Macaca fascicularis: one gene and its partners. The protein of the gene in region 1 interacts with the protein of each later gene in a pairwise test. Links are inferred from orthologs where the notes say so. Each region holds a gene or a part of one and is shown on either strand. Other genes may lie near its edges.

Region 1 (3,500 bases):
GGCGGACGTTGCAGTAAGCCAAAATCACGCCACTTCACTCCAGCCTGGGTGACAAGAGCAAGAGTCCATCTTAAAAAAAAAAAACAACAACAACAATCTGAGGAAACCGCTAATGTCAAATAAAAAAAAAAAACATTTTGATGATGCATTAAGTATGCTCAACCGCACCATCTTAATAGGGCATTCAAGGCCCTTTACAATCTGGATTTAAATTCTTTTTCAGGCCTTACTCTTCTGGCCTTTTAATGACTACCTGCCATATTCTATGACGTTATTTCTCAAACAGAAAGTGTATACTTTCATGTCTGACATTTTCAGTGTATACTCTATGGTATTTAACAGCTGACTTGATTCCTCTACACAACTCCCATGGATGACTGATTAACTCAGTTCAAACGTTAAGCATTTGTCAATCAGTAATTTTTACTCCAAAATCAGAGACAGAATTGTTATATACAGCAATAACATTAAAATACTAATGATTAGAATACTGGTATTCTAAGACAAATAGTAGTACTATGCTTCATATAAAGTAATGCGCTTTATATATTGCATTTTTAAAGTGTATTGCATATAATAGTTTGCTCCATATACTTACATATACTGCATGAGTTTAAACACGACAAGCCAAATAAGTCTAACATTTACTTCATGTTAACTGAGACTGATATCAGATTGTCAATGTGGTAACACTCTTAAGCACATCATTCTATTTCTTGTTTAGTATTTGCTATCATCAGTTCTAAATCTATTACCCAAAGCCACCCATAACCCAGTCCCTAGTCACCACACTCAGCGAATTCTTTTGTATTTTTAGTAGAAACAGGCATTATGAAATAATGCATTAAAATCATTATCACCCTACCTAATAATCTACTTAAGGTTATTTTTTTCTTTTGGAGGAAAGGGAGTATGTTTGGAAACATCTTTGATGTTCATCACCACAAACTAGAAAAACAAAATGGTTCTCATTAATAGCTGTTTAGCAGAAAGGCAAAACACTTTTAACATACCTATCATAATAGTCCCGTTGAAAGTCATAGTCCAAGTCAAAAGAGGAGCTGAAAAATAAATACCGAAAAGGGTTAATTTGGAAACGCTGCTACTAATTCACAACATCAGGTGAGGGGAGAACCATGCCAAATAAACCACAACAGATAGATCAACAAGATTAGCACTGAATGATCCCCAATCATTCATACAATAAATCACTCAATTCCAATCACCTTAGACCACTGGAAATGTAGTGGTCAAATTGGTAATTCAGGTTAAAATTCACTAAGATTTCCACATACGACATAGTTAAACTGAACACTGAAAAACAGAATGGTAAACTAAACATTCTTATACCACACTTCTTCCCTCTCTTACTCTCTGGTGTCTTAGAAGCTCAACGATCCTGTAGAAGTATTTCAGGCTATGCTATAAATATCAAACTACTCCTAAACATCAATAGCAAAAACCTCAGGGATTTTTAATTCTCTAGTAATTTTCGCTAGGGCAAAAGAGAGACATATTAACACAAAAATAATGAAACCTTATTTATACACAGATAAAACACAGTACACTTAACCCTCCCCACATCCAGAAAACAGATAGAGAAGATGCCCACTGATGGACACAATGCAGTTATAAATAATAAAGTTTCCGGACCTGAGTAGAGGGGACGGAGAAGGGTGTTCTGTTACTGACCCGTACATCTCCGCTGCAGATCGTTTCACACCTGCTTTTCCTCGGTTCACTTTTGGCTCTGCAGCCAGGTTAATATCTGAAAAACAAAAGCAAAAATTTTAGTGACAACTTTGTATCCAGGTAAAACAAACTACAAAGTTAATTTTTTTATTTTTGAGACATAGTTTCGCTTTGTCGCCCAGGCTGGAGTGCAATGGTGCCATCTAGGCTCACGGAAACCTCCACTGCCCGGTTCAAGGGATTCTCCTGCCTCAGCCTCAAGAGTAACTATGACTACAAGCGGGCACCACCATGCCCAGCTAATACAAAGTTTAGAAAATCACAGACATAAAAATTAGAAAATATGAAACAAAACAACTCATCTTTCCTATTTTTTTTTATTTTATTTAAGAGAGGGTCTCACTGTCATACAAGCTGGAGTGCAGTGATGCAATAATGGCTCAATACAGCCTAGACCTCCAAAGCTTGGGTGATCCTCCCATCCAAGTAGCAGGCACCACCAACGCTGGCTAATTTTTCTGTTTTTCTTTTTCTTTTTTTTTTTTTTTTTGAGATGGAGTCTCGCTCTGTCGCCCAAACTGGAGTGCAGTAGCCGGATCTCAGCTCACTGCAAGCTCCGCCTTTCAGGTTCACGCCATTCTCCTGCCTCAGCCTCCTGAGTAGCTGGGACTACAGGCGACCGCCACCTCGCCCGGCTAGTTTTTTGTATTTTTTAGTAGAGACGGGGTTTCAACGGGTTAGCCAGGATGGTCTCGATCTCCTGACCTTGTGATCCGCCCATCTCAGCCTCCCAAAGTGCTGGGATTACAGGCTTGAGCCACCGCGCCCGGCCAATTTTTCTGTTTTTCATAGGGACGAACTCTTGGGGTCAAGTGATCTGCCTTGACCTCCCAAAGTGCTGGAATTACAGGTGTGAGCTACCATGCTGAGCTTCATCTCTCCTTTTAATATTAAAAAGGCTCATAAATTTTTACAAGGCTAAGACTTCATCTTCTATGTATTTGCACTCTGTTCTGTACCACTAAAGTGTTCCTGAGACATAACATTAAGTCTGTCTTTGGTACTCTCCACCCTCAGATCCCACTTTAACTCAACTCTCCCCATTCAAGGCACTGACTGTTCACTCAGTTACTATTACAAGAGAAAACTATCAATGGTTACCTTTCCAAGAATGGTTCAGTTCATTCCGAATTATTACAAATATATTAAAATATACGCCAATCCACAAAACAATATAGTGCAGTGTGACACCCTCAAATCATCCTCAAAGGCAACTTCAGATTTCCCTTATAAGTAAGGATTAGCTGTACTGCATGTAAAACATCCGGGGTTAACAACTGCTTTCTGAATAATTCATAAGTTGCTTAAATAACCTTTACATATATCAAAAAAATAAAAGAGCAAAGGGAAACAACCCTAGTTTTCAAATACAATTTGTAACACATAAGCCCAGCTACCTACCCTGCCACCCATGACCTTCCAAACAAGAATTCATCTTCTCCTTGTTCTAAAAACCCCATGTCAGAAAGCCAATTCAGTTTTTTAACTTCCCAGTCGTGCTAAAGCACTCAGTCAACAATACCTCCATTTTCATATATACTGCTTTAAAATTAGTCTCATTTTAATACACACATGCCCCAAAATATACAAATTCCATATATATATATATTTTTAGACGGAGTCTTGCCCTGTTGCCCATGCTGGAGTGCAATCACGGCTCACTGTAACCTACGCCTCCCGGGTTCAAACAATTCTCCTGCCTCAACGGCTTGGATTACCGGCGCCCGCCACCACGGCCTGCTAATTTT
Region 2 (4,284 bases), on another chromosome or scaffold:
TTAAAGTCACCAGAGGACAACCATAAGGCACTATGAATTTCTAAACAAACAAACAAACACCCTCGTTAATGTCAATGTATACTTGTTTTTTTAAAGTCACACATCACAATCTTCTTCTAATACAGCCTCAGCACTTAATCTGATTTTGACTAAAGTGCTAAAAGATATGAGGTAGGAGGAAACATCAATTTAAAAAATAAGGATAACTTCAGAAAGTCTGACAATTCCACCAAAGGTTGAACGCCAGTTTCCATATGATCTAGCAATTCTATTCCTAGGCATATAGCCAAGAGAAATAAAACATACGTCCACACAAACATGTTCTTAGCAGTATTATGTAAAATAGCTAAAAAAGTGGAAACAATGAAAATGTTCATTAACTGATGAACGGATAAATAAAATGTGGTATATCCATGAGCTGGAGGATCATTAGGTCATAAGGAGAAATGAAACACTGATACATTCTTGTTACGACATGGATAAACCTTGAAAACATTACACTATGGGAAAGAAGTCAGTTACAAAAGAGCACAAATTGTACAATTCCATTTATATGGAATGTCCAGGATAGGCAAATCTAAGAAGACAAAAAACTGGTTGCCTGGGGCTGGGGTAGTTGGGAATTGGAGAGTGACTGTTAATGAGTACAGGTTTCTTTTTGGCGTGGTGAAAATGTTCTAAGATTGATTGTGGTGATGGCTGCAAAACTGCGAATACACTAAAAGCCACTTTAAGTGGGTGAATTGTATGCCATGTGAATTACATTTCAATGAAGCTGCTAGAAAAATGAAGCCAGAAATGTAGAGGAAAAAAGGGTTACAGGGATCTGTCAAGCACCTAATTGCTCTTTTTCTGGATTCTGTAATTTTGTGGTAATTATCAGTTTTTAAGTTTTATCATTTGTGATTTTTTTCTCATTCTAAGTATTCATATTAGTAAAAAACATTTTCACCACCACAAGTAAATTTACTGAAAAATCATTGTTATTTAAGCAGCTCATTTTTATAGCATGCGAATTATCTCAATAAAGATGTGACATCTTTGTATTAAAAAAGGGATCACAACGGTAATATGTTAACCTTAAAAGAACCACAGAATTAACAGCCCTGGACACTTAGTACTCCCTCAAATTATGAAACCCACTAAAACGCATAAACTACTTTAAAGATAATATTAACAGCTTTGTAAAAAGCCCAAAAAATATTTCAGTCAAGCAAACGCTCAAGTTCAGAAATGTCATGGGAAGTTGAAGATTTCATTACGAAAACATACCGAGGAACAACATAAAAAATACTGCTTGACCACTTTCCCTAAAAGCTAAACTCGTGATTAAGATGCAGAAGGGAAGTATTAAAATAAATCTATTTATCTAAACTATTAAAGCTGAAGGGAAGAAGTCTTCTATCAAAAATCTCAGTGGGGTGTGTGGGTATGCGTGTGTGAATGCATGTATTTAAACCATACGCCCCATGTAGACAATCTGGGGAGCAGCTGTATCTAAGACAATGATTTTTTTTTTCTTTTTTAAATAATCAAACGTGATGGTGCCATTCCCTAGCCCACCCCATCCCCCACTACCACCACCAGCAGGTGGAGGGAAAGGATACTGTAGACTAGAGGATGACAGCTTTGTATAACCCTTTGGACTTTATATGTAAGAATGCAGCTGGTGGTCTCCTCTCAGGAGGGGGTAAAGAGATTTGTGGACAAGCTGAAATAAGGGGTATCCTTTGCCTGGAAGAGGGCACACCGTGAGCCACATCTTGAATCAGCTATATCCAGAGTAAAACACAGGCCGCTGGAAGGCACTGTTAGCATCACCAGGATGGCCTCTCACGCCGGGGGTGTTTTTTTCAACGGAGAAGTTGTCCTGTAGTTTGGATATTGGGGGGAGGCAGGGGTAAAGCGGGAGTCGGGAAGACCAGAAAAAATGCCTTTAAGTGGAGACGCCTCAGGCCTCGCTGAGGAAGTTCAGAGCCCCACTCGGTCGCCACACGCTCACCCTCCCACCCCCACCGCCCTCCTTCCCGCAGCGCCAGACGTCGGTGCCCGAGCGAGAGCCGGAATCTCCGCCGCTGCCAGGGAGGGCCGCGGCCCGGGCCGGGCAGCGCCGACCGCACACGCACGCCTCCTCCGCACGCGCCGCGCCCGGCCTCCCCGCCGCGCGGCCCGACCCCTCGCACCCGCGCCGGGCCGGCTCTGCCGGGCAGGCCTAGGCCGCGCCGGCCGTACCCGGGCACCTCGCTCCCCGGCGGAGGCGGAGCAGGCCCGACATAAACTTCCCGGCGCGCTAGCAGAGGCGTCACGGACGGGCCGGCCCCCAGCGCCATTCCCCGAGGCCCGGAGGCGGCTCCCGCCCCTACTCCCCACACTCGGGGTCCCGGCGGAGACCGGCCCCAGGCCCACGGCCCCCACCCCTCCGGCGTCGTCCAGCAGTTTACCTCCAAGTCGCGGCCTTTGTTCTTGAAATTCTTGAGCCGTTGGTTGTCCAGTTTCTCGTTGTCCGCCATGGCCGGGCCGGTGACTCCTTCCCCCGCCCGGGCCCCGCGGGATCCGCCCCAACCACCGCGCCGCACCGACACTCCCAGGAACCGGGTCGCCGCCTGAGCTGCTGTGCTCGCCGCGCCGCCGCTTCCTTCCTCCTCTCACCTGCCTCCGCCGCGGCCTTCTCCTCTCCCCGCCCGCCCCCCCGCCCTAACCCCAGCGCGACTGCAGCTCCGGCAAAGACAACTGTGGGGCCGGGCGGCGGCAACGGCGGCGGAATGTGCTGCCGGCTGAGAGGGGGAGGCAGCCTCGATCTGAGGGCCCCGGAGCTGCGGCCACGCCCATCGCCTCCAGCCCAGCTCGCCCATTGGCCAACCAGGCTCCGGTGCGTTCGACCAATGGGAAGGGGCGATGGAGAGCCGGGGCGGAAAGAGCGAACGGAAAGGGGAAGCGAACGACGCTGGGAGGAGCCGGCTCGGGGCCGGGAGGGGTGCGGCTGGGGTAGGCAGGGAAGGACCACGTGCCTTCGGAGAGATGGGGAGGAAGCGACAGAGAAGTACACTTCAGGGGAAACCAGCAAGGGGAAGGAGAGGCCGGGGAACGCAGCAGGGCGAGTTGTTTTGCATCACTCGTCCGGGAAGCCCTAGATGCAGGGGTCCAGGGTCGAGACTGCGTTAAAGTAACGTTCTTCTCTCCCCGGGCGCGCCCTGTCTTCCTGGGCATTCCTTGCGCTCTCTGTTCGCTTTGCAGAGAGATCTGAGCTTCGCTCTTTCCCAGGTCGGACGCTCGCAGCTCCGTTCCCGGGCTGGGGCTCCCTGCCGTCCAGGGTCGAGTCTGGGGGCCAGGACCTGCAGGGATGACGTGAGTTGAGGAGGCTCAGCGGAAAGCGACAGGAACGCTGGGTGGAAAAGGAAAGGGCCCAGTAGACGTATCTGATTTATCTTCTGTGACTAAGCGCCCGCAACAGGTAGGAATTTAGGCAGAGCTGGTGATCCTTGGACAATAGCACTTCCTAGGTAATTCGTCTTAGAAAGTTAAAGAAGCTGCTTGACCACAAAGTATGAACTTCTGGAGGGCGGAGCCCGTGGCAGCTGACAGGGAATATTGTCTGTTGAGAAAGGAAATGAATTCCAGGGATACCAGGGACAACAACATTACCAGAGGCAGAAATGACACGAGATACAAAAGAACGTATTCAAAAATTTCACAAAACAGAAATGGAAAATTATCTTAAAATATATTGAAATATCAACGAATAACATCTCAAATGTCCAGGGATATGTAAAGCAGCAACTCTGGTCGGAAGCAAGGAATCGAGGCGTTGGGTGTGTTTAAACTTGGCTAGGCAGGGAGAAGAGACCCTGATACAAACTCCTTCAGAATCGTTGACTCCCGGTCCTTTCTAGTGTATTTTTTGAGCAGAACAACGTGCAGAGATAAATGTTTAAAATGCATATGTTTCTTAGGGAAACACTTTTAAAGCCAACAGAGGGGAATTTTTTTTTTAAGTTAAAATGGAAGAAGTCAGTGGGTTTAACAGATGTGAACAACTGAGTTTCCTTTGGGGGAGAGGTAATGAAAAGAGCCGGAGTACTTTAGGAATCACTTTGGAGAGGATATTGTAGTGGGGGAAAGGAAAGTAAAAACTTAGGAAGCAGAGTAGTACCTTTAAAGTCGTCAATACTTTATAGACCATCAACTGGGCTATGGACAACAGAAGCTGTGCCTGGGAATAACTCACACTGAAGGTTAACTTGAATATAAATTTAGAACAGATCTTAAATACAAATGATGATGTTC
Region 3 (4,127 bases), on another chromosome or scaffold:
GCCACCACGCCCAGCTAATTTTTGTATATCTAGTAGGGAAGGGGTTTCACCATGTGGCCCATGGTTGGCCACACTGGTCTCGGTCTCTTGACCTTGTGATCCGCCCGCCTTGGCCTCCCAAAGTGCTGAGATTACAGGCGTGAGCCACCGCACCCGGCCGAAAGCAGTTCTTTATCAGTGCAATCCATCCAAATTTCCCTGTTTCATTCCTTCGATGCCCCCGGAGGGAGTGGGAGTGCTACACAGGAAAGTGTGCGACCCAGGGCTTGGCTGCTGCCTGAAGGCTAAGATTATGTGTGGTGGTAGAACAAGAAGTGTTGGGGGCATGGAAATACAGGGACTGCCAGAGTGAAGGTTGCAGAACCGGGGTTGGGAGGATGATGAGAAACTGGGCGACACTAAAGCGCCACTTCAACAAGTATTTATTGCGTATCTACGACGTGCTAGGCATTGTTTTGACACTAGAGATTCAGCAGTAATTCAACCAAAGTACCTGCTCTCATTGAGCTGAATTCCCGTGCGGGCAGCCAGGTAACGCACGTAAACACTCGTATCACGTAGATACACATGTACATGTCAGCTAGAAATAAATGCTATTTATAAAACTGAAGCAGAGCATGGACACAGCGAATGAAGGTGGCTGCTATTTGGGAAGACCTCCAAAAAAGCGAGACTGCGAAGCACCCGCGGTTGTTCTTTTTCTGATTTTCTACCTACCCGCAGCGAGGTGCGCTCCCAGAAAGCTCCGCCCTCTTCCTCCTGATAGGGCGCAAGGTGCCAGGGAAGCTCCCCTCTCTTCCCCGCCCAGAGGCCGCCTTGTGGGGGCGGAGCTTTGCGCCCAGCAATCTGAGCGCGGCGCGCAAAAAGCCGCGCGCGCAAGGGTCCCGGCATTCTCCTCGTTCGCACTAGGCGTGGAGAATTACCCCAGGCGGATCGTGGCATGCTGGGAACTGTAGTTGACGACCGCTCCCCCGACCCGCGCCTGAGGGGCGGTAAAAGCCGCCAGGTCCGGCTCCATTTCTGACACCAGACTTGCAGCACTCAGGGGTTGTGGAGAGCCCTAGCAGGGAAAGAGGGCAGGGTCATCCCGAGAACCAACTGGCACGTCCAGCCCGGCGAACGCCCAAGCCGGTCGCCGCCCCCGGTCACGTGTCGCCAGCCTCCACGGGCGCGCGCCGCTCTCAGCACTGTTCCCGCCCCACCCGGCCCGGCAGTCTGCCCGCGCCTCCCCCGGCGCTACTGCCACCTCGCGCTCGGAGGCGTCACGGAACGTGCTCTCCTCTCACCCTCCCCCCTCCTGCTCTCCTCCTCCTCCCCCTCCCGCGCCGAGACTCGCCGCCGCCGCCGCAGCCGCAGGAGTAGCCGCCGCTGGAGCCGCGCGCAGCCATGGCCGAGAACCCCAGCTTGGAAAACCACCGCATCAAGAGCTTCAAGAACAAGGGCCGCGATGTGGAAGTGAGTGTGCTTCCGTGGTCTCGGCCCGCCTGGCCGCGCCGGGCCGGCGACGCGGGGAGGGGCGGGGGGCCGGCGCCGGGCTGGTTCTCGTCGGCTTGTGGTCGGCCGGAGTTGGCCGCCGCCTCCCGTCACCGCGGCCCCGGGTTGGGCGGAGCGGGCGGTGAGACGCGGGCCGGGCTGCAGTCACCCTCCGAAGCTGCCGGCGCGGCGACCGGGAAATGCCGGGGTTTTCGGCCCCGTCACGCGGGCGCGGCCTTGTGTCGGCGAGGAGGGGATGTGGAGCTGAGGCGGGGTCCGCGGGCCGGGGCCGCCCGAATGAACGGGGATGCTGCCGCCCCGGCCCGCCGACCGCACAGCCGAGGGGGCGGCCGCTGCTTGCGCCCGCCGCTGGTGCAACCTTCCGCCCGGTGCAGCCCCCTCTGCGCCTCCCGCGCGGCTGCACATGGAGCCTCGCCTCTGCCGGTCCCGGCTGCTACCTTCTGCTAGCCGGGCCCAGGCGGGCGGTGGCGGCCCGCAGAGGGGGGTGGGGACCAGCCGGGTAACTGACTTGTTTGAGGGTGATGGATGGGGGAGGGTAGGATGCGCCAGGACCATTTTCTTATATTCCAGTGCTCGTCTTTGGACTAGTCGTGCCGAGCTGTTCTAGCTCATACTCCTGCAACTGCTGGCATTTGGAGCGAGCTGAAGGTGGACAATAGTTTGCCATCTATTGTGTTCAGGCTTCGGAAAAGAGGTTGTTCTGACCTCCGCTCATAGGACTTGTTTTCTTAGCCTTTCTTGGAGTGGGGTGTGCATAGAGTGATACAATTTCTTTGACACGTTTTACTAAAATAAATTGGATACATAGGGTTCATACGTCCTCTTACGTACCTCTTGCTCCAAGCTAGTAGAATTTCCAAGTGGTTGCAAAACTAAACATTCATCGCGGTCACTCAGTTAGTTGCTACTCAGCATGTTGCCATTGTCTCATTAAGGTGACATTAGCAGGTACTATTTGCAAACTCGGCTTGTTGAGGCAGCGCTAGAGGTCTCTCTGCAGCTACTGAAAACAGTAAGTATAATGCACAAACTTCACTGGGACCGTGACCTTTGGATTTGTTAGGGGGAAAATAGTTTTAAGGCCACAGCCTTCTTTTCTAATACTAGCCGACATGATTTGCAGTTTTGTAATTTTTGGTAAGAAGCTGGTGTGATTAAGAGGTGTGTATTTTATCCTATCTTAAGGAAGGTTGTGGGGGTAAATACACCATTCAGCGTTCTATTTTGTAGAGAAACAGACAAACTCAGGCCGTTTTTCAGAGCTACAAAATTAAATACTAGTAGGAAAAAACCTAGGGAGATATCCGTGGAATTCCCATTTAAATGAGTCAAAGATCATATATTCTTTCCTGGTCATGGTTAAATATCCTTTGTGAGAAATACATCTAAGCAAAAGTAAAACTTGGGAATAGACACAAGAAATTTTGGAACTGCCTCCTGTTATCGGTCCACTTGATGACAAGTGTTAATTTTGAACTTTTCCCATTAGGAATTTTTCTTGACGCCTACCCTGTTCCAAATAAAAATGTATTGAAAAATACTCATATTGTTGGTACAGAAGAACCAGTAACATTCTTCCTTCTCTTGGATATTGGTACAGGTTTTTGTTTCATTGTTTACCTCTATTATTGTGTTATGGTAGCTCAGTGATACTTAGTAAGGACTCCTGCACATAATAGGTACAAAACAAATATTTGCTGATGATAAGAATGTAACCAGTGACTTTTAGATGCATGAAAAAGAGCATGGTTGCTAAGCCATTCAGCCTGGTGTTGGTCACAACATTACATTTCTCGGGACTCTACAGGGTAACTAACACATGAAATAGACATTCAAATGGTAGTTCTAATGTGACAGACACTGCGTTAAGAGCTTCATGATACCTTATTTAATCTGTGTAACAAGTGTATGAGTTAGGTGTGGCATTATCCCCACTTTACATGAGGAAAGTATTTTTTGAGACGGAGTCTTGCTTCTTTACCCAGGTTGAAGCGCTCAGGCACTCCTAGCTCAGCTGCAAGCTCAAACTCCTAGGCTCAAGGAATCTTCCCACCATGGCCTCCCAAGTAGCTGGGACTACAGGCAGACACCATCACACCTGGCTAATTTTTTAGTCTTTTGTGGAGACAGGGGTCTAGCTTTATTGCCCAAGCTTGTCTTGAACTCCTGGGCTCCGGTGATTCTCCCACCTCAGCCTTCCAAAGTGTTGGAACTACAGATGCTAGCCATCACACCCAGCTGGAACTTTAGGTACAAAACCTCAGTGTGCTTATGTAGCCTGTGCATGTCACTCAGTGGATATGGGTATTATTTATTCACTGATTGTCTATGGGTATCTATCAATGTTAGGTCTTGGGGATAAGGAATAAGATGCAGTCTGTACCTCAAGGAGTTTACAGTCCAGTGGGGGTGATAATTACAATGCAGAACAACAATTGTTACAGTGTAGTATTCCGAAAATGCATGCCAAAAAACTACTTGGAGGTGAGCAGAAAGGGAAGATACTCTGGTTGATTTCTAATGAATGAATGGGAGTAAGCTGAGTGTGAAGGATGAAAGAAAGGTGGCCAGGCAAAGAGCGGGAGAAGACCGGTGGAAGAAAGGGGCATTCCAGACCAGAGGGAGCAGTAATT
Region 4 (4,100 bases), on another chromosome or scaffold:
GGCACAGAAAGGAGGAAATGATAACTTAGGAGGCTACCGTAAATATTTCAGAAGGAAAGTCCTGAACAAAGCTGGTGACAAATACAAAAAAAGAGAGAATACCAAAAAAGGCAGAAATAAACCAAAAACGGGCAGGGCCTGGTGGCTCACGCCTGTAATCCCAGCACTTTGGGAGGCCAAGGCAGGCATATCACGAGGTCAGGAGTTCAAGACTAGCATGGCCAACATGGTGAAATTCTGCCTCTACTAAAAATACAAAAACAGACCGGGCAGTGGCTCACACCTGTGATCCCAGCACTTTGGGAGGCCGAGGCGGGTGGATCACGAGGTCAGGAGATCAGAGACCTTCCTGGCTAACATGATGAAACCCCGTCTCTACTAAAAATACAAAAAAATTAGCTGGGCAGGGTGGTAGGTGCCTGTAGTCCCAGCTACTTGGGAGGCTGAGGCAAGAGAATGGCGTGAACCTGGGAGGTGGAGCTTGCAGTAAGCTGAGATCACACCACTGTACTCCAGCCTGGGCGACAGAGGGAAACTCAAAAAAACAAAACAAAAAAAAAATACAAAAACTAGTCAAGCATGGTGGTGCGTGCCCGTAATCCCAGCTACTCAGGAGGCTGTGGCAGGAGAATTGCTTGAACCCAGGAGGCAGAGGTTGCTGTGAGCCAAGATTGTGCCACTGCACTCCAGCCTGAGCAACAAAGCAAGACCCCGTCTAGGGAAAAAAAAAAAAAAAGAATAAACCAGAAACTGGTTGGCTCTGGACACAGTGGTCAGGTCAAGGTACCCAGTTAGCAGCTAGAAATGCAGGGAAGTCTGAAGGAAGGTCAGAGCTAAAGGAAGATCCTAAATCAGCTTCAGTGGATTATGGAAGGCAGGAAAGAAGACAATTACTAATTGGGAACAGAGAAAAAGATCTTCACAGATAGTTACAACCTAAGGCTAAAAATGTTAAGTTTACTGGAATTTCTAAGAAAAGTTCCTACTGATTTTCTGGATTTCACGTAACTCATAAACCAAAATACATTTTTTACCTGGTTGTTGCGGTTTTCCTGCAGCGGAGAAGTAGCATCATCAGGAAATGAGCTTACGTTTCTCCTCTTCAGCATCTGGTCATCCTTCTTAGCTTTCCTCAGCTCCACATTGACCTCTATTCTGCGACGCCTCATTTCCTTGAGAAAAGATAACATGCCGTTTCACCTATCACATCAGTTTTTGTTGCTAAGTGAGGGTATTTTTAAAAAGATCCCTAAGTTTTCACCCCTTTCCAAATGTCCTCCCATTTAAACACCACCACAGGAAAGCAACAGAAGGTACTCACTGTACTGTCTTTTCCCTTGTTCTTGAATCTGTGAAGACGGGCAGCTGGTGTATTAGCATTCTCATTGGTGGACATGGTTATGAGACAAAGGGAGAAAGCTAAAAGATGGGCGAGGAGAAAAATATTTCCTTTATCATTTTCCTTTGTCAATAATAGTACCAAATAAGAATTGAATTATCAAGCATCTACTGAATCCACACCTGTATACTAGAGGGGGGATCATCATGCTTTCAGCACTATGAAATAGCTTTACCCAAACGGGAACTGTCCCCCTTCCCTCTGAAGCGCTGAGACTTCCTGGAGAGGGCTGTCCATCAGAAATAGAATGCAAGCTATATAAATTGAAACTTCCTAGTAGCCATACTTTTTAAAAGGCGAAAAGAAACAAGTGAAACTAATTTCAATAATTTATTTTACTTAACCCAACATATCCAAATAGTATTTCAACATATATATTTCAATATATAAAATAACTGACATCTTTTACATTCTTTTTCCATACTCTATCTTTGAAGTCTTTTGTGTACTTTAAGCTTACAGCGTATTTCAATTTGGACTAGCCACGTGTGTCCACCGTTTCTGACAGCCTGGCTCGATACTCCAGAGTCCCTAATAGTTAATCCAAGGCAAAGCAGGGGAACCAAGTTAACTTACAGCTAAAAATTATGTGCCAGGGCAATAAATTCAGATTCTCAGGAGGCTCGCACTACTTTACTGTCTTTACTTGGCCAAAATAGGTGCAGATTCGAAAACTAAAAAAAATTTGCTTCATCATTACATTATGGTCAACATTAAAAATGCAGTGCCGCATGTCGCATATTTGATTTGCATTTCCAGAGACTAGGAGCGAATGCACTTAATTAGGACGACATCAGCTGTGCGTCATTCAGAAGACGACAAAAGTCAAAGCCCTCCTTACAATTTGCTATCTTTGCTTTCATTACGCTCGCCTACGACTTGGTGGCACAGCCACCCCGGGGCCAAAGTGTCAGAGACAGTGCTCCCAACTGCCACCCCCAGCCCCTGCCCCTGCCCCTACGTCGGGGAAGATGCAACGAGAAAGGGGGAAGCGAGGCCAGGGCCGCCACGAGCCCTCCCGGGACATTCGCCCTCAGGCCTGGCTCGCTCCGATTCTCCCGGCCGCGACGCGTTATGGTCTCCGCTGCCGTTTGAAGAGCGTCGGCGCCCTAAACCCGCAGACCCCGCGAAACTCAGCCGCCTGGTCAATGAACCAGTCGCCCCCGAGGCCTAGACAACGCGGGAGGCTGAGCCAGGCTCGGCGTGGACCCGGGGCCTCCTTCCCCCCACCCAAAGGCGAACGCCGCCCGCGGGCAAACCGTTAGCGCTCGGGCCGAGCCGCCGCCTGAGTCTGTACCTGAGAAGCGGGCCCGGGCTTCCACGGGAGGCGATGCGGGGAATCAGCGGCTGTGGGACGGCTGCGCTCAAAGGGTCCACCTCGACTCAGCTCAAAGACCGTGTGGCTCGTGCAGCCGGCCGGCGCGATTTAAATTTCCCGGTGACTCCGCATTCCGATTGGCTGGTTCGAGCCCAAGCTGTGTGCCCATTGGTGGATTTGAAAAACACGTTGAGAGGGGAGGGAGTCATAGGGCTTAGGGGCGAGTGGGAGGGGGGGAAAAAAAAAAAAAAAGGAGGATGGCATCGCGAGATGAGGGAGCAGACGGGCGGTTCCCGAGCGCCTGGCCGGGCGGAGCGGGAGGACTCCAGATCCCGTCAAGCAACGCGAAGGGGCGGTCCCTGGGCCGTTCGTGTTTCCACTGGATTGAAGCGCGCATGGTCCCTGGGCGTTTTCCTGGGCGAGAGCCTTGAACAAATACCGCAAAATGATTCTCAAAGTCATTATTTTAAAAAAACTTTGTTGTTGATCTTCATGAAAATTAAAAAATGATAATTAGTAAATAAGTAATCTTTATAGAAAGACATATTGCTTTGCATTTTTTTCCTGTTACGATATCCGAAGAACTTGGCAGGGGTTTCTGGCCACTATGGGAGGGAAGATTTATGTTATATTTTTTAGTTTAGTTTTTTTTTTCAATTGCGTCGTAAAAGACTGTATAGAAGCCGCAAATATAGTAACAAAATATTTCTTATTCCTGTTTCTCCAAACACTCAAGTTTTGTATTTTTAAATAATTTCAAATGCAGCAGAATTGCAAATCCTTATCCAGATTTGCCAAATGTTAACACATTTGCTACTGCAATGTCTCTATACATATATATGTATACCTATGCACATGTGTACCTATGTGTGATTTCAATATGTTACTTTTTGAAACATTTGAGAGTTTCAGAATCATGTCCTTTTTCCTCTGTTTCACGGTGTATCTCCTAAGAAAAGACATTCTCTTACATAACCACACTGCAGTCGTCAAATTCAGAAAAACTGAAATTTCATGCTGTTGTTTAGTATGTAGTCTGTGTTCAAGTTTTGTCAATTGTTCCAGTAACATTCTATGCTCGTTACACATTTCTGAATTTTGCATTTTTTGCTATATGCTCAAACGAAGAAACAAAACAAAGATGGTCAACAGAGCATCAGGATTATGGGCCATTTTTGTTTCTGCAATTTTTTTGTGTTCTAAAAGATTACATTTTAGAAAAGTTGTCATGGTTTATTTCTTACTATAAATAAATTCAAACACCAAATTTGTCCATTCTTGCAGTCATTAATGCCAGCCTCATTCATTGTATAGCAGCCAGAGTTCATAAAGGGTTGCACCTACTCTTAATCAGCATAATCCCATCCCCCTAAATGCAAGAAT
Region 5 (3,993 bases), on another chromosome or scaffold:
CTCTCCCCTTCTGTTTCCAGCTCCTCCAGGACATGCTCATCACTCTTCACACAGCTGTTTACCCTGGAGTAGATATAAGAATATATACAGAAAACAGTAGAGACTGTGAGTCTCAAAATATATTCCTTATCTATATTATCTACCATTAGAGACCCCATTTATTCAAAGACACTTCTCCAACAATTCACTGCCCTTTACCATTTAGTCCATGAACACTTACTAAATACCTGTCTACACAGAATGCGCTATGCTAGGTACTGAGGGAAGTCGAAGGTGTTTAAGACATAGTCTCTATCCTTAAGAAGGTCACAATCTATTTAGGGAGAAAAAACATGTATGTACGTGTTGTGTCGGCGGTGGGAGGAGAGAATAATAACACATAGAAGCATAGGCCAAATTAGTAGAAATTCACAGAAGAGAAAATTGGTAGAAAAAGGTGGTAAAGGAAGACTTCAGAAAGGTACTCTTACGCTGACATTGAAAAGTGTGTGATGAAGAAAAGGAAAACAGGAAAAGAGAGTACAAAGGGACAGTAATATATACTGAAGGATAATGAGAAGTAGTAATTTATCAAGCAGTTAAGTGACACAGTGCAAGTGATAGTTTAGACAGATGAATGTGGTTATAATATGCCATAGAGATTCAAAGGGAAGAAACAAGAACTAGTTATGAAACTAGTGAAGTATACAGTGATGAAGGTCTAGACTGAAATGGTAATAGTGAAAATGGAAAGAAAGGGTTAGATGAGAGGGGACTTTTGGAAGCAGAGGCAAGGAAGTCAAAGATAATCCCAAAATTTCAGTCTGTGTAACTGAGAGAACAATGGTACCAATGAAGGAAAGCCAAAGCTCTAGATGGAATAAATGATTTGGGAAAGGGAAAGTCAGTATTGTTTTAGTCATGTTGAGTCTAGTACCTTTTACAATAGAAACGCCAGCATGAAGTATCAGGAGTACTTCAAATACATGATTCTGAAGGGACAGCATGAGTGACTGGCTAAAGGGAAAATGAGAGATGAGAGTCCGAGGCTGAATGTATAAATCTTGAGTCATCTGTGATAACAAGATCTGGAGCTCTGAGGAGGAGATCTCCAAGGAGAGAATACAGAAAGAAATATGAAGATGGTCCTAACATTTTTATAGCCTGGGCACCACTGTGTAGAAATCTAGGCCATGGCTAGCATGATCTACTAACTAAGTAATTAAAAACTCTTATTAGAGTGTAAAGAAATAACAGGGCCATTTAAGCATGAAACAACAGATTATTTTAAAAAAATACAAAAAATGAATTAACTCCAGGAAAAAAACCAAATATCAAATACTTTCCTTGTAAAATAGCTCTTTCCCAGTGAGGTTATGATAAAGTCTAGAAAAACTAACACCCATAATTAAAAACAATATTCCCAGGCTCTAGAAAGACTTGGCCCTATTTTGGAAAATTCTAAATTATCTTTAGGCCCAAGGTGTTAAAAAATTCATTTTAAGTATCTCAATTTTTTATTACTTAGAATCCCAAAACTTCTTACTAAGTTTAAAGTTTCTAGACATCAACACACATGAATCTCAAAAAGAAATGTTGAGTAAAAAAATAAAGCAAATCACGGAAAAATTAATATATGTGTCCATTTGTATAAAGTTGAAAAATAGATAAAACTAGGAACATTTTGTTTAGGGATAAATTCATATGTACTAGAAACTATTTGCTTTTTTAAAAGCAAGGGAATCAGTAACGCAAAATTCCGGATAGTGGTCACCTCAGAGGGGAACGAAGGGAGGGAAAAGACACAGTAGACTTCTAAGGGACTGGCAATGTCCTATTTCTGAAGCTTGCAGTGGATGCGAACCTTTATTATTCTTTAAGCTGTATATATACATTATACATTATTTTGCATGGATGAGATACTGTAAAAAAAAAAAAAACGTTAAAGGTTAGTTTCAGGCAGGGAAAGTCAAAAACGGTTTTTTAAAAGATGCAAGGAACTGACAGTGCAGGAAAACATATCAGTAAGAATTTTAAACGCACTGCACTATTCCAGAGTGATGATTCTACTTGCAGCGTGAATCTAAAAATTAATTTAAGCCTGTCAATAGTTGGGAGGCTCGGGCCGTTTAGGCTCAAGCGGCCATTTACCTCAGGACCAGTAAGGGGAACTGAGCCCAGCAATGCCTTCCACCTCCCCTCCCCCCATCCCAAAAATCCAACCGCTTTGGTGCTCTCCTTCTACATTTAGAAACAAAGTACCGCTCCTTTACTTTAAGATTGGAAAGCGCTATATGGTTTCGGGGCCCGAGCAAGTAGTCTCCAACACACAGACGTTGCAAATAAATACGCTGGCCCCGAGCCTTTCTCAGGTGGAGGTGGCGGTAGGGGAGGACGAGGAGGGGTTGGCCCGAGGTACCTTCATCTCCGGCGCCGGGAATTGGTCAGCCTCAAACCCTTTTGCCTAGCTGGGTCCGTGTGAAACGACGAGGCCGCAGCACCTGGCCAGCTCCCGGGGCCCATGCCGGGAGGGCATACCCACAGCAGCCGGGCCCGGTGGCAGCCCTTCCTGACCTTCGCTCTGCAGGCCTGTTCAGCCCGTCTCCCCTCCTCCCGTCTCCTTTGTCGTCTTCCCGCTCCCATGAAATCGCATCCCGAGAACGTGCAATACCCAAACCAGAAAGCAATTGAAGCCATTTTCAAAAGAAAAAGTAGAAGAGAGCTCCCCTTGCCGCCTGCTCTTCAGACAAGTCCTTACCTCTTCATGTTTCCACAGGCCCCTACCTCCAACTTGCGTAAATAGGCCGCGGACCTCAAGTCCCAGAACTCCGCGCGGCGGACTCTAAGGGGATTGTGATGGAGCATGGGGCTCTGGGAATTGTAGTAGCACAGAGCTATGGCGACAGAAAGAGAAAGTAGGTCTCGAGTGACAGGTATGCTGAACATTGTCCAAATATTGATTTTGAATTGCTCATCTAGGTTCAAAATAAGACCCAAAATATCCAGCTCAAAAAACCGAGTCACCTTTGACTTTTTGATTCTCTCATTCATTACCACTAATTCCTGGCTCTTCTGTAATTTCCTTTGAACTTCTTATCAACACTGCTTTTCTTTCAAGGATTTATCCAGCCTACCTACCGTTTCCAGTAGAGCCTCTGCTTCATCCTTCATGATGTAGCCAGAGTCATCAGACACGAGTCTGACTATATCACCTGTATTAATGGTTCTCCTCTATCTGTAACAGAGACTTGAGAGTTTTGTCCACTTAGAATCAGAAGTCTGTGTGTATTCAGGTTCACAAATGTTTTACTGATAATTATGGTGAATCAAGAAAGAGGTATAGTATAGTGGTTAAAAGCATGGGCTCTTAGTTCCGAGAAATGGAAATGCAAATGTCTTTAAGTGTATGAAAAGATGTCCAATCTCACAAATTTTAAAGTGCACTGACTACCAGTACTCCTTAAAAATAGCAAGGTCATCAAAAACATGAGAATCTGTCACAGACAAAAGGAACCAAAGGAGTCATGATGACTAAAGTAATGTAGTATCTTGAATGGGATCCTGGAACAGAAAAAAAGACATGAGGTAAAAACTAAGGAAATGTGAATGAACTATGCTCTTTAGTTAATAACAAGGTTCGTTAGCTGTGACAAATGTACCAGAGTTATGCAAGGGAAACTGAGTTGCAGGTATGTGGAACTTTGTACTATGCAACCTTTCTGTAACTAAAACTGTTCTAAAACTTAAAGTTTGTTTTTAAAAGTACACTAAAGTACCATTTTTCACCTAACAGACTGGGAAAGATCCAAAAGTTTGATAACACACTTGTTTTATTGAGATTGTGGGGAAACAGGCGCTCTCAATACACTAGTGGTAGGAATATAAATTGGTACAACATCTATTGGGGGCAAATGAGGATACTACTAAAATCATAAATGTACATTCCCTTTAAAGCAGCAATTCAGTTATGAATAGAGTCCTCAATACTATATATCCTCTAACCTACTATCATTC

The links. The genes of interacting proteins can lie anywhere in the genome.
Region 2: the proteins of HNRNPC (region 1) and KPNA4 interact in binary tests that used the Homo sapiens proteins (3 or more experiments, as listed by UniProt). The two-hybrid records come from large-scale screens. The link is inferred for Macaca fascicularis from reciprocal best matches to the Homo sapiens genes HNRNPC and KPNA4.
Region 3: the proteins of HNRNPC (region 1) and KPNA3 interact in binary tests that used the Homo sapiens proteins (3 or more experiments, as listed by UniProt). The link is inferred for Macaca fascicularis from reciprocal best matches to the Homo sapiens genes HNRNPC and KPNA3.
Region 4: the proteins of HNRNPC (region 1) and KPNA2 interact in binary tests that used the Homo sapiens proteins (3 or more experiments, as listed by UniProt). The link is inferred for Macaca fascicularis from reciprocal best matches to the Homo sapiens genes HNRNPC and KPNA2.
Region 5: the proteins of HNRNPC (region 1) and RBM41 interact in binary tests that used the Homo sapiens proteins (3 or more experiments, as listed by UniProt). The two-hybrid records come from large-scale screens. The link is inferred for Macaca fascicularis from reciprocal best matches to the Homo sapiens genes HNRNPC and RBM41.

The regions. Positions count from the first base shown.
Region 1 is NC_088381.1:88,893,804-88,897,303, forward strand, and holds part of HNRNPC (heterogeneous nuclear ribonucleoproteins C1/C2), read right to left. Parts: intron 1,769-3,500; coding exon 1,654-1,768; intron 1,062-1,653; coding exon 1,014-1,061; intron 1-1,013. UniProt on the Homo sapiens protein: Binds pre-mRNA and nucleates the assembly of 40S hnRNP particles. Interacts with poly-U tracts in the 3'-UTR or 5'-UTR of mRNA and modulates the stability and the level of translation of bound mRNA molecules. Single HNRNPC tetramers bind 230-240 nucleotides.
Region 2 is NC_088376.1:63,526,380-63,530,663, forward strand, and holds the start of KPNA4 (importin subunit alpha-3), read right to left. Parts: upstream 2,801-4,284; 5' UTR 2,511-2,800; coding exon 2,442-2,510; intron 1-2,441. UniProt on the Homo sapiens protein: Functions in nuclear protein import as an adapter protein for nuclear receptor KPNB1. Binds specifically and directly to substrates containing either a simple or bipartite NLS motif.
Region 3 is NC_088391.1:28,951,568-28,955,694, reverse strand, and holds the start of KPNA3 (importin subunit alpha-4), read left to right. Parts: upstream 1-1,327; 5' UTR 1,328-1,386; coding exon 1,387-1,455; intron 1,456-1,605; exon of another isoform or gene 1,606-2,506; intron 2,507-4,127. UniProt on the Homo sapiens protein: Functions in nuclear protein import as an adapter protein for nuclear receptor KPNB1. Binds specifically and directly to substrates containing either a simple or bipartite NLS motif.
Region 4 is NC_088390.1:74,459,201-74,463,300, reverse strand, and holds the start of KPNA2 (importin subunit alpha-1), read right to left. Parts: upstream 2,801-4,100; 5' UTR 2,697-2,800; intron 1,420-2,696; 5' UTR 1,397-1,419; coding exon 1,322-1,396; intron 1,173-1,321; coding exon 1,035-1,172; intron 1-1,034.
Region 5 is NC_088395.1:113,706,579-113,710,571, forward strand, and holds the start of RBM41 (RNA-binding protein 41), read right to left. Parts: upstream 2,801-3,993; 5' UTR 2,746-2,800; coding exon 2,738-2,745; exon of another isoform or gene 2,399-2,737; intron 1,904-2,398; exon of another isoform or gene 1,754-1,903; intron 999-1,753; exon of another isoform or gene 917-998; intron 64-916; coding exon 1-63. UniProt on the Homo sapiens protein: May bind RNA.